Tamandua tetradactyla: one gene and its partner. Each later gene encodes a partner of the first gene's protein in a complex. Links are inferred from orthologs where the notes say so. Each region holds a gene or a part of one and is shown in the gene's direction. Other genes may lie near its edges.

Region 1 (3,911 bases):
TTGGTGAATAGGCTACAGGGTTGCAGCTACCTGTGGAGAGAAAGGCCACGAAGAATAGGCTGAGGTCGTGGCTACCACCAGTGGAGGACAGGCCCTGGAGGGGACAGGTCATAAGATCCTAGCAACTTCTGTTTTGAGAAGGCGGGTGGCAGCTGTCTCTCTTCTCTTTTTCTCAGGGCCCTGGCTACCCATTCCCAGCCTGTAGTCCAGGATGGCTGCCTGCAGGAGGAAATCTCCCAGCAGATCAGGAAAGGATGGACAAGCCTTGGATGAGCAGAAGAATAACCCCCCGCTGGTGGAAACAGCTTGGGCCAAAGTGTAGAGGTGGCAATCGATTTCATTTTCTTTGTTTTGCTGCAACCCAGGGAGAGAAGAGGGCAAACCTGCCTTAAGATAGAAAACTGCAGTCTTAAAGAGCTCCCGGGTTTGGGTAGATCCCGACACAAGTTTAAGGGGTTCGTTAACTTGTGACGAAGACACGCCTCTTCCACCTCACTCGCCTAACTCGCGGAAGCTCAGAGGGCGGGTTCCTGCTCCACCCGGGAGGTGCAGCGGTCCCCTAGCCTCGGGCTACCAGAACCTCCCACCGCCGCCGTCGGGCCGCAGAGCTCCAGACGCTTGGCTCCGCATCCAATCGAAGCCCGGCCCCGCCTGAAGCCCTCTCGGAGCCCAATCCGAGCGTTTACTCTACCTCTAGTGCCTACTCTCGGCGTGGCCCCGCCTCCAGCCCTGGCCCAAGGCTGGGCCCTGCCCAGCTTCATCCGCCGCTCCGCCCTCTAACCAATCACCGGCCTCGGATCTCTTCTGGGCCCGCCTCCGGACCCGCCCCGGCCCAGTCCCAGGCCTGGCTCGCTCGGGCCCCACCCCTGGCCCGCCCCGCCGTCGGTGCACGGCGGCGGGCAAGGCACCGCCCGCAGACGCTCGGAACTGTCGACCCGAGAGCTGCCCGCAGAGGGCCGGTGGCCGGAGCGGAGTTGGTCGGGCGGGGCCGAGCCGGGCCGGGGGCCGTGTGGGGGCCGGGCGGCGGCCGGGCCGGGCGGACGGCGGGATGGGCTGCACCGTGAGCGCCGAGGACAAGGCGGCGGCCGAGCGCTCCAAAATGATCGATAAGAACCTGCGGGAGGACGGCGAAAAGGCGGCGCGGGAGGTGAAGTTGCTGCTGCTGGGTGAGGCCGCGCCCCGCGCTGAGATACCCCCCTCCCCCCTTACCCTCCCGCCCCCTCCCTCAGTTCTGCCAGATTCCCAGACAAGGACTTCGAACTCGTAGACAAGGGCTTCGGACCTCCCCTTCGCTCCCGCCCGCGTCTGGACCCCCAAGCCTGGCCTGAAACCCCAGTCGGACCGTCACATAAGGATCCGAAATCCTAAGCTGAAGTCCAGGCTCTAGATAAGAATCCCAAATCATTCCAGACTCCAAACACCCAAACCCAGCCACCAGGCCCCCAACACCAGCTACCCAGAACCCTGCTTGACCATCCCTTGCCGACCAAACTTATAGACCCTCAGAAGCTGCCATCTTGTCTTTCCATCCTTCTTTAGACTTTACTCAAAGCCCCAGAACCCTACCTCGCCTTTACGTTCAGTCTCCACCTGTTCCCCTCACCTGCTCCCTCGTATTCCTATTGGGCATGAGCATCCCTGGGGCCCCTCCCAGGCCCCCCCCACTCCCTCCTTCCCCTCCTGTGCCCCATCCATACTCTGAACTTTATATCTTCTACCTGTGACCTCGGATTTTAAGACATCTCCTGCGTGAGAACCCACGATAGGGCACCCCTCACTCCAGCTGGAATCCCCGAACCTGTAGACGCTCTGCTCCCTGACTTCGGCCCCCCAGGTCCTCTGCAGGCATCACTCCCCAAAACGCTGTGCACACCCTCTCCCACTCTCTGGCCTTCCCCAGGTTCGCCTACCCCTGCACTATTGGGCCGGGCCAGGAGGAGGGGCCCAGGGGCTAGGGTGAGGTAGCAGGCTCGTTAGACCTCCCAGGAGGGGGCTGGAGTGAAGCCCCACTCAGGCTTCTCTGGGAGTTTCCGCTTGCATTACCTTTTTAAGTTTCAAGACCTACTCCTGTGAGCCCCCAGGCAGTAGGAGGGTGTGTGGGGGAGGGGCAGGGGTGAGTTGTTGGGGTGGAGTGGGGGTTGCGGCCACTTCCAAGGCCCGGGAAGATGGTGGCTGCTCAAATGGTGGAGGGAAGTGGAAGTGGTGAGACAGCCGACATATTGCCGCCCCTGCGGGCGGGCTGAGATCCGCTGACGGCTTGGGAACTGGCCTGAAGAGCTGGTCTGAGGCCTTCGGAGTGGATGGAGCTGTAGTATCCTGGGACCCTCCTAGTGGGGGAGTGGTGGACCAGCTTCATGAGGGTATGGGGGACCAGCTGGGGGTCAGTCAGGTGCCTCTGAGCCTCTGCGCTAGGCTTTTGCAAAGGTGGGGGGTCCGGTGGACATCCTGGACCAGCTCCCCATGGGGAAGCTTGAAAGCCTGATTTGGGGATTTCAAGGGGTTTTATGGGAGGCCCCCACAACAGTGTTAGAGGCTGAATAGTATATGTGTGTGGGGGTGTGGCCCCTCGGCCTCAGAGCTGCTGTGGAGACCTCAGGTTGTGAAAAGCAGAGCTTTGCAGGCTGGGCCTGTGGCTGAGGGACAGCAAATAACTGTCCATTCATGGGCCCATCTGTTGACTGTCCCCAGGGGCCTGGCCTCAGGGGCGCAGCCCCAGAGGTTTCAAAATGGCATCCGCTCTGCTGCCGCCGCCGCAGGGAGGAAGAGAAGGGGCGGGAAGGGGCGGCGGCCCAGCCTCCTGGGCTGCTTTGCGTTGGGCGCTTGCCTCTTCCTGTCTCTGCTGCTGCGAAGAGCGGCGGCGGCAATGAGTGGGTGTCGACGCGGCGGAATGCTTGTTGCTGCCCGCTGGGCCTGGGGAGGGCACTTCCGGTCCTACAGCCTCTCGGTGCTCAGCTTGGGGTCTCTAGCTATCCCCTTACCCAGTCGATTAAGCTGGTGGCTAAGGAGATGTGGGACTAGAGTAGAGGTGGGGACACAGGGCTCCTGGCCTATTCTATGCCCCAGCCCTAGAAAGGCCCTCCGTCCTGCCAGGATTGCCCCTTGGAGCTCGGCTCAGCTTTTGGGCCAGGCCAGGTGGAGCCCAGTAACCCCTCCTACACTGAGCTGGCAGCAGCCAGGAGTGCAGTATCGGTCAGCATTTTCTAGCTTGGTGAGCCCATCCCAGCATCCTGCCTCTCTGGCCTTTTCTTCCTCTCTGAAATGGGCTTCCTGGGCTGGCCAGGGAAGGGCCACAGGAGTGCCAGGGCCCAGCTGGGAGAGAATAGGAGCTTCAGGGAGGTTTCTGTTGGTGATGTGAGTAGGGGTTAGGACCTGCAGAGCATATACTGCAAGGGGCTGGGAGAGCAAGCTCTTCCTGAAATTGAAGATTTAATCTGCCACAGTTGCCTGGGGAGCAGTCCTGGCTGACCCATCCTTTTTCCCTCCAGGTACATAGTGGTGGTGGGAGCTTGGCTGTGGCAGGTTCAGAGTGCTGGGCGCCTGTCCCACATAGCGGGAGAGACTCTGTCTGGGCAACGGGACTTGGGCTGGGCATTTGCCAGCCTTCCCTCCCAGCCAGAGCCACGCCTGCTGCCCCACCCGCATACAGGCTCCCTCCCGCTCGGGGTGGCCCGGCCAGTGGGCGGGTACATTCATTGTCACTGGGGCAGAAGCAGACATGGTACACATTGGCGAGAGGACTTTCATTAGATAGCTTGGTGGGGGGAGCAGAGGAGCTGAAAGCTGCTGTACTCCGGGGATACCCTCACCCCACCAGTTCAGCTTGATTGAGTTCAGGTGGAAATCAGGTCCTTGGGCTGGACACGTAGGGGAAAAGGAACCCAAAGCCCAAGGGAAGTCTCTGTTTTGGGGTT
Region 2 (3,911 bases), on another chromosome or scaffold:
CATGGCATACTAATTTGAAATAGTATTTCCTCAAAAAAGTCCCCCACTCAAGCTTTGTATAAAATGTGAATACATTCCTGTTTTTATCAATACATACTATTCCATGATGAAGTCATGCGAAACCAAGGATCAAATCATAGACACTGTCATTTCACCCATAAATATTTCAGCATGTGGCTTAAATATCTATATTTCTCATTATGAAAAAATAACATATATACAAAAAAAGCAATACATTTCAAAGCACACCGCAACAACTGGTTATAGAAGATTTCAGAGTTTGGTATGGGTTACAGTTCCACACTTTTAAGTTTTTCCTTCTAGCTGCACCAAGACACAAGAATAAAAGAAATATCAGTATGATTCAGCAGTGATACTCATTTGTTAAATCCTATCTTCTCGGATGCTAAAATAAGATTTAGCAAAATGTTGATCAAAATGCTAAAACAGTGCAACTAGTAATGAGTACTTGAGTATTTATTATATTATTTTCTCTACTTTTGTCTTTCTTAAAATTGTCCAGAATGACAAATTTACAATAATAATAATAAAAAAACACAAGGATCAAATACCATTTTATAAACTGATACTTTCTAATCTCTGTCTTGAGATTAAACCTCTTTCCTGGGTGTCAAAATCACATCTCCAAATGGCTTTGAGATGTTTCCCCACTGAAGAACCCACTGGCACTACAAAGAGAACTTGCCCATGACTCTAGTTTTTTTTCTCTTTACACCCCCACTGATATGAGGTACTCAGGCTATCCCAAATAACTGCAGCATTGCACTTCCCCTGTGAGTCACATCTTTTCATGTCCTTGCACCTTCCCTTTCCTGTATCTCAGTTTTCTCTATCTCCTGGCCTTTAAAATGATGTACATGTTGTTTTTTTCTGGGAACCCATTGCTAACTCCTCTTATCTGAGTTCGCTGGCTCCTCCTCAGTGTCCCAGTAACGTTTTCTTGGTGTGAAAGCTGACAAATCTTACCACACTGCGCCCGTCTATTTCCCCTCGTAGGTAAGAGCTCTATGTTTCACCTATGTGATTGCACAATGTCTGCAGCTGCTCAACTTTCACTGAATGAAAGACTGAGCTCTCCTCCACATTTTAGAGAAAATTATTTAATACCTTATATAAAAGAAGTGTTCTTTAAATACTGTTGGATTAGAATATGAAATACCATTACATTTAAAATATATTTTTTACTCAGAATAGCTTACTAATGAAGATTTTTATCAAGAAAAATTTTCTTATCTAAACATATTCTGCTTCTAAATTGTGAAATAAAAATCAGAACTGAAGATAAGTATTTGGTTTTCATAAGTTGATATATTTATATGAGGAAAAAACATTTACTCTTGCCTGTTTTTTATCTATAGAGTCAAATCCAGCAATTTTGTTTCCTTTTGTGTCAATCAAGGAACCCATAGGTTCACAAGTGATGACATCACATGTCTGTTTTGGCAAAGGCAGCAATTGCCGAACTTTGTCAATACTCTCTGACCGCTTGTCTCCTAGCTCTTTCTAAAAAAGAGAGAGAAAGAGAAAGGGAAAAATGAGTTGGAAATTACAATGAAGGCAAAGTTACAAGAAGGAAGTGCTCCTTTGAAGCATTTCCTTTTCTATCACTGGCATGTTCTTTAACCTTGAACATGGTCTATGGTGCAGCTCTAAATTAGAGGCGTGAGTATGTTTCATTTCTTCTATTTAAGTAGGAAACAGAACATATATAAAGTCACACTTCTTACACAACCAACACCACAGTGCTGAAATGACAAAAATTCAGGGTACTATTTGCAATCAGAAGGCAGAAGCTGCAGCACGGAACATTTTCTTGCGTGCAGGGACAGACCACAAGGTAACCAGCAATTATTTTATTGGTAAGGCCATCAGAAATATTGATTTCCTTTTACACTGTTTGTTTAGAGTTTATTTTGAAGGTTAGGCTAGTGGCTAATTGAATGAATTATATTTAGAAATATCAATGAAAAATGCCTATATTTCCTCTGAATGTACCAATCCAACTATTGATTTATCCAAAATCTAATGCTGGTATTTTGATTACATATTTGAACATGGATTTCTAAAGTACCTTAAAAACGGAACATGTTTTGATAATATAATTATTACTTAAATCTTCAAGGTTACATGCATGTACTTTTGGGTTCTTCTAAGCTGAAGTGAAACAAAATGGCAAAATAACCCTATTAAATTAAAGTGAATGAATGCAATAAATAATCACCTTGCTTGTTAAAATTATATTTTTGATGTTTCATTTAATGAGTAGTGAATTAAATAAAAATGCCAATAAATAACAAATCCATTAACAATTTGGGTTCATAAGATAGGCAGATTACAAACTTACATTCAGTTTTTTTACTAAATTCATATAAGCCCGTTTGTTCTCTTCAGATCCCCCTGGGGACACAGTTGATAGATCAGAGGCTAATGTTCCATTGATTAAAACGCCCAGCATGTCAAGAACTGTTGTGAATAATTCACTAGAAGGTGAAAGAAAATAATTATTTTCATCTTAAACCAAAACCAAGATATACTTAACTGAGCAAGACACAGAATTTTGAATGGTAGCTAAAAATGTAACGAGACAGAATTTATAGCAAGTTTACACCATGTACACATGCAGCAAAAGAAATGCAAAATGATAAAATCATACTTGTTCGTGTGCATGTCAACAGTTCCTGAAGTAATTATTTGAAGAAGTAGAAGCGCCCAGTCTGTTGTCCACTGAGTACTTCTCTGCACTGTGTCAAACATTCCTCCTACCTAGCATACAGAAGACAATTTAAAAAGACTGCATTACATTAAAGAGAAAATACTATCCCGGCGCTATCATGTGGCCAAATTTTGGTTTATTCAAAAAAAAAAATCAGTTTATCCTGTCTTCTCTCCTGGCTAAATATTTGTCATTTCACCCTTTTCAGCACAGCAATTTGAGCATTAAAAAAAAAAAGGATGGGTGTGTGTGTGTTTGTGTGTGTGTGTTTGTATACCTGAGTGTTTTCTAGGAGCAGTTCTAACATGCCTGTCCTTTGAGGATCACATGACCAGAAGTTCACCATGTGATTTCAAAACGGCTGATGCAAAAGTGTAGGTACCTCACTGATATGAATTAAATGGTACATTTTCTTTTGTTCGTAATCTTTCAAGATATCCTGATTTAAGATGTAAATTTAGTCACATTAAGCCTGAACACATCAAAATGATGTAAGCCAACTACCTATAGATTTGATTACTATGGAATTTATTCTTGCTATCATAAACACTTAGAAATATCCATTAATGCAGAATTAATGATGGCCAGGAGGCTAGGCTCACAGCCCAACCAGATTCATATGTGGGGATCCCGTTAAAAAATAAGGCAAAGTAACAGGCAAGCCACCTTTCAGTGTAGGAATTAATTTTGGGCTTGTCTGATGAGAAAATAAAACTTCAAAGGAATGTACAATGGGTAAAAAAATTTTTAAGTGTATCTGAAATCTCACTGTGGATTTGTTTGTAAATGATCAATGTGATGGAACGTTTGACAACATTTTTAAATTAAAGAACCTTTTATGCTTTTTAAATATAGAGCAAAAGCTACTCAAAATAGCAGTCCTCTGAGACCTATGCTTAAGAACAAACTCAAGAGCAGGAGAGATTCACTGAGGCTGAGGAGAGGAAAAACAGAGGGGAAGGGCAGACCAATGCCTAAAATACCTACTACTTTTCAGAAGTCAGACCAGACAGGAAGGAAAGCCAAAAGGAAAACAGGATGCTTGAGAATCAGGGAAGTAGTTACAAAGAGCAAACAGCGGAAGACCTGACTTTGTAGTGCAGAGTCTGCACACAGTGGGAACGGAAAGCTGGAATTATTTTCACATCGAGGTAAGTGCAGTAGAGGGAATACACAA

What was found.
Region 2: the proteins of GNAI2 (region 1) and P2RY12 are in contact, whole or in part, in a cryo-EM structure (PDB 7XXI), measured with the Homo sapiens proteins. The link is inferred for Tamandua tetradactyla from reciprocal best matches to the Homo sapiens genes GNAI2 and P2RY12. Residues at the interface, in NP_002061.1 of Homo sapiens: Arg24, Glu28, Ala31, Arg32, Leu195, Glu319, Ile320, Tyr321, Phe335, Phe337, Asp338, Ala339, Thr341, Asp342, Ile344, Ile345, Lys346, Asn348, Leu349, Lys350, Asp351, Cys352, Gly353, Leu354, Phe355; in NP_073625.1 of Homo sapiens: Phe59, Asp121, Arg122, Lys125, Thr126, Pro129, Phe130, Thr132, Asn134, Pro135, Ile212, Leu216, Ser219, Tyr220, Arg222, Thr223, Arg224, Val234, Lys237, Ile241, Leu301, Cys302, Lys303.

What each region holds. Positions count from the first base shown.
Region 1 is NC_135341.1:35,847,550-35,851,460, reverse strand, and holds the start of GNAI2 (guanine nucleotide-binding protein G(i) subunit alpha-2), read left to right. Parts: upstream 1-1,031; 5' UTR 1,032-1,048; coding exon 1,049-1,166; intron 1,167-3,911. UniProt on the Homo sapiens protein: Guanine nucleotide-binding proteins (G proteins) are involved as modulators or transducers in various transmembrane signaling systems.
Region 2 is NC_135331.1:44,951,933-44,955,843, reverse strand, and holds the start of P2RY12 (P2Y purinoceptor 12), read left to right. Parts: upstream 1-1,756; 5' UTR 1,757-1,858; exon of another isoform or gene 1,859-1,880; intron 1,881-1,897; exon of another isoform or gene 1,898-2,365; coding exon of another isoform or gene 2,366-2,501; exon of another isoform or gene 2,502-2,674; coding exon of another isoform or gene 2,675-2,784; exon of another isoform or gene 2,785-3,885; intron 3,886-3,911. Other genes in the region: MED12L (mediator of RNA polymerase II transcription subunit 12-like protein), read right to left, coding at 1,363-1,524, 2,366-2,501, 2,675-2,784. UniProt on the Homo sapiens protein: Receptor for ADP and ATP coupled to G-proteins that inhibit the adenylyl cyclase second messenger system. Not activated by UDP and UTP. Required for normal platelet aggregation and blood coagulation.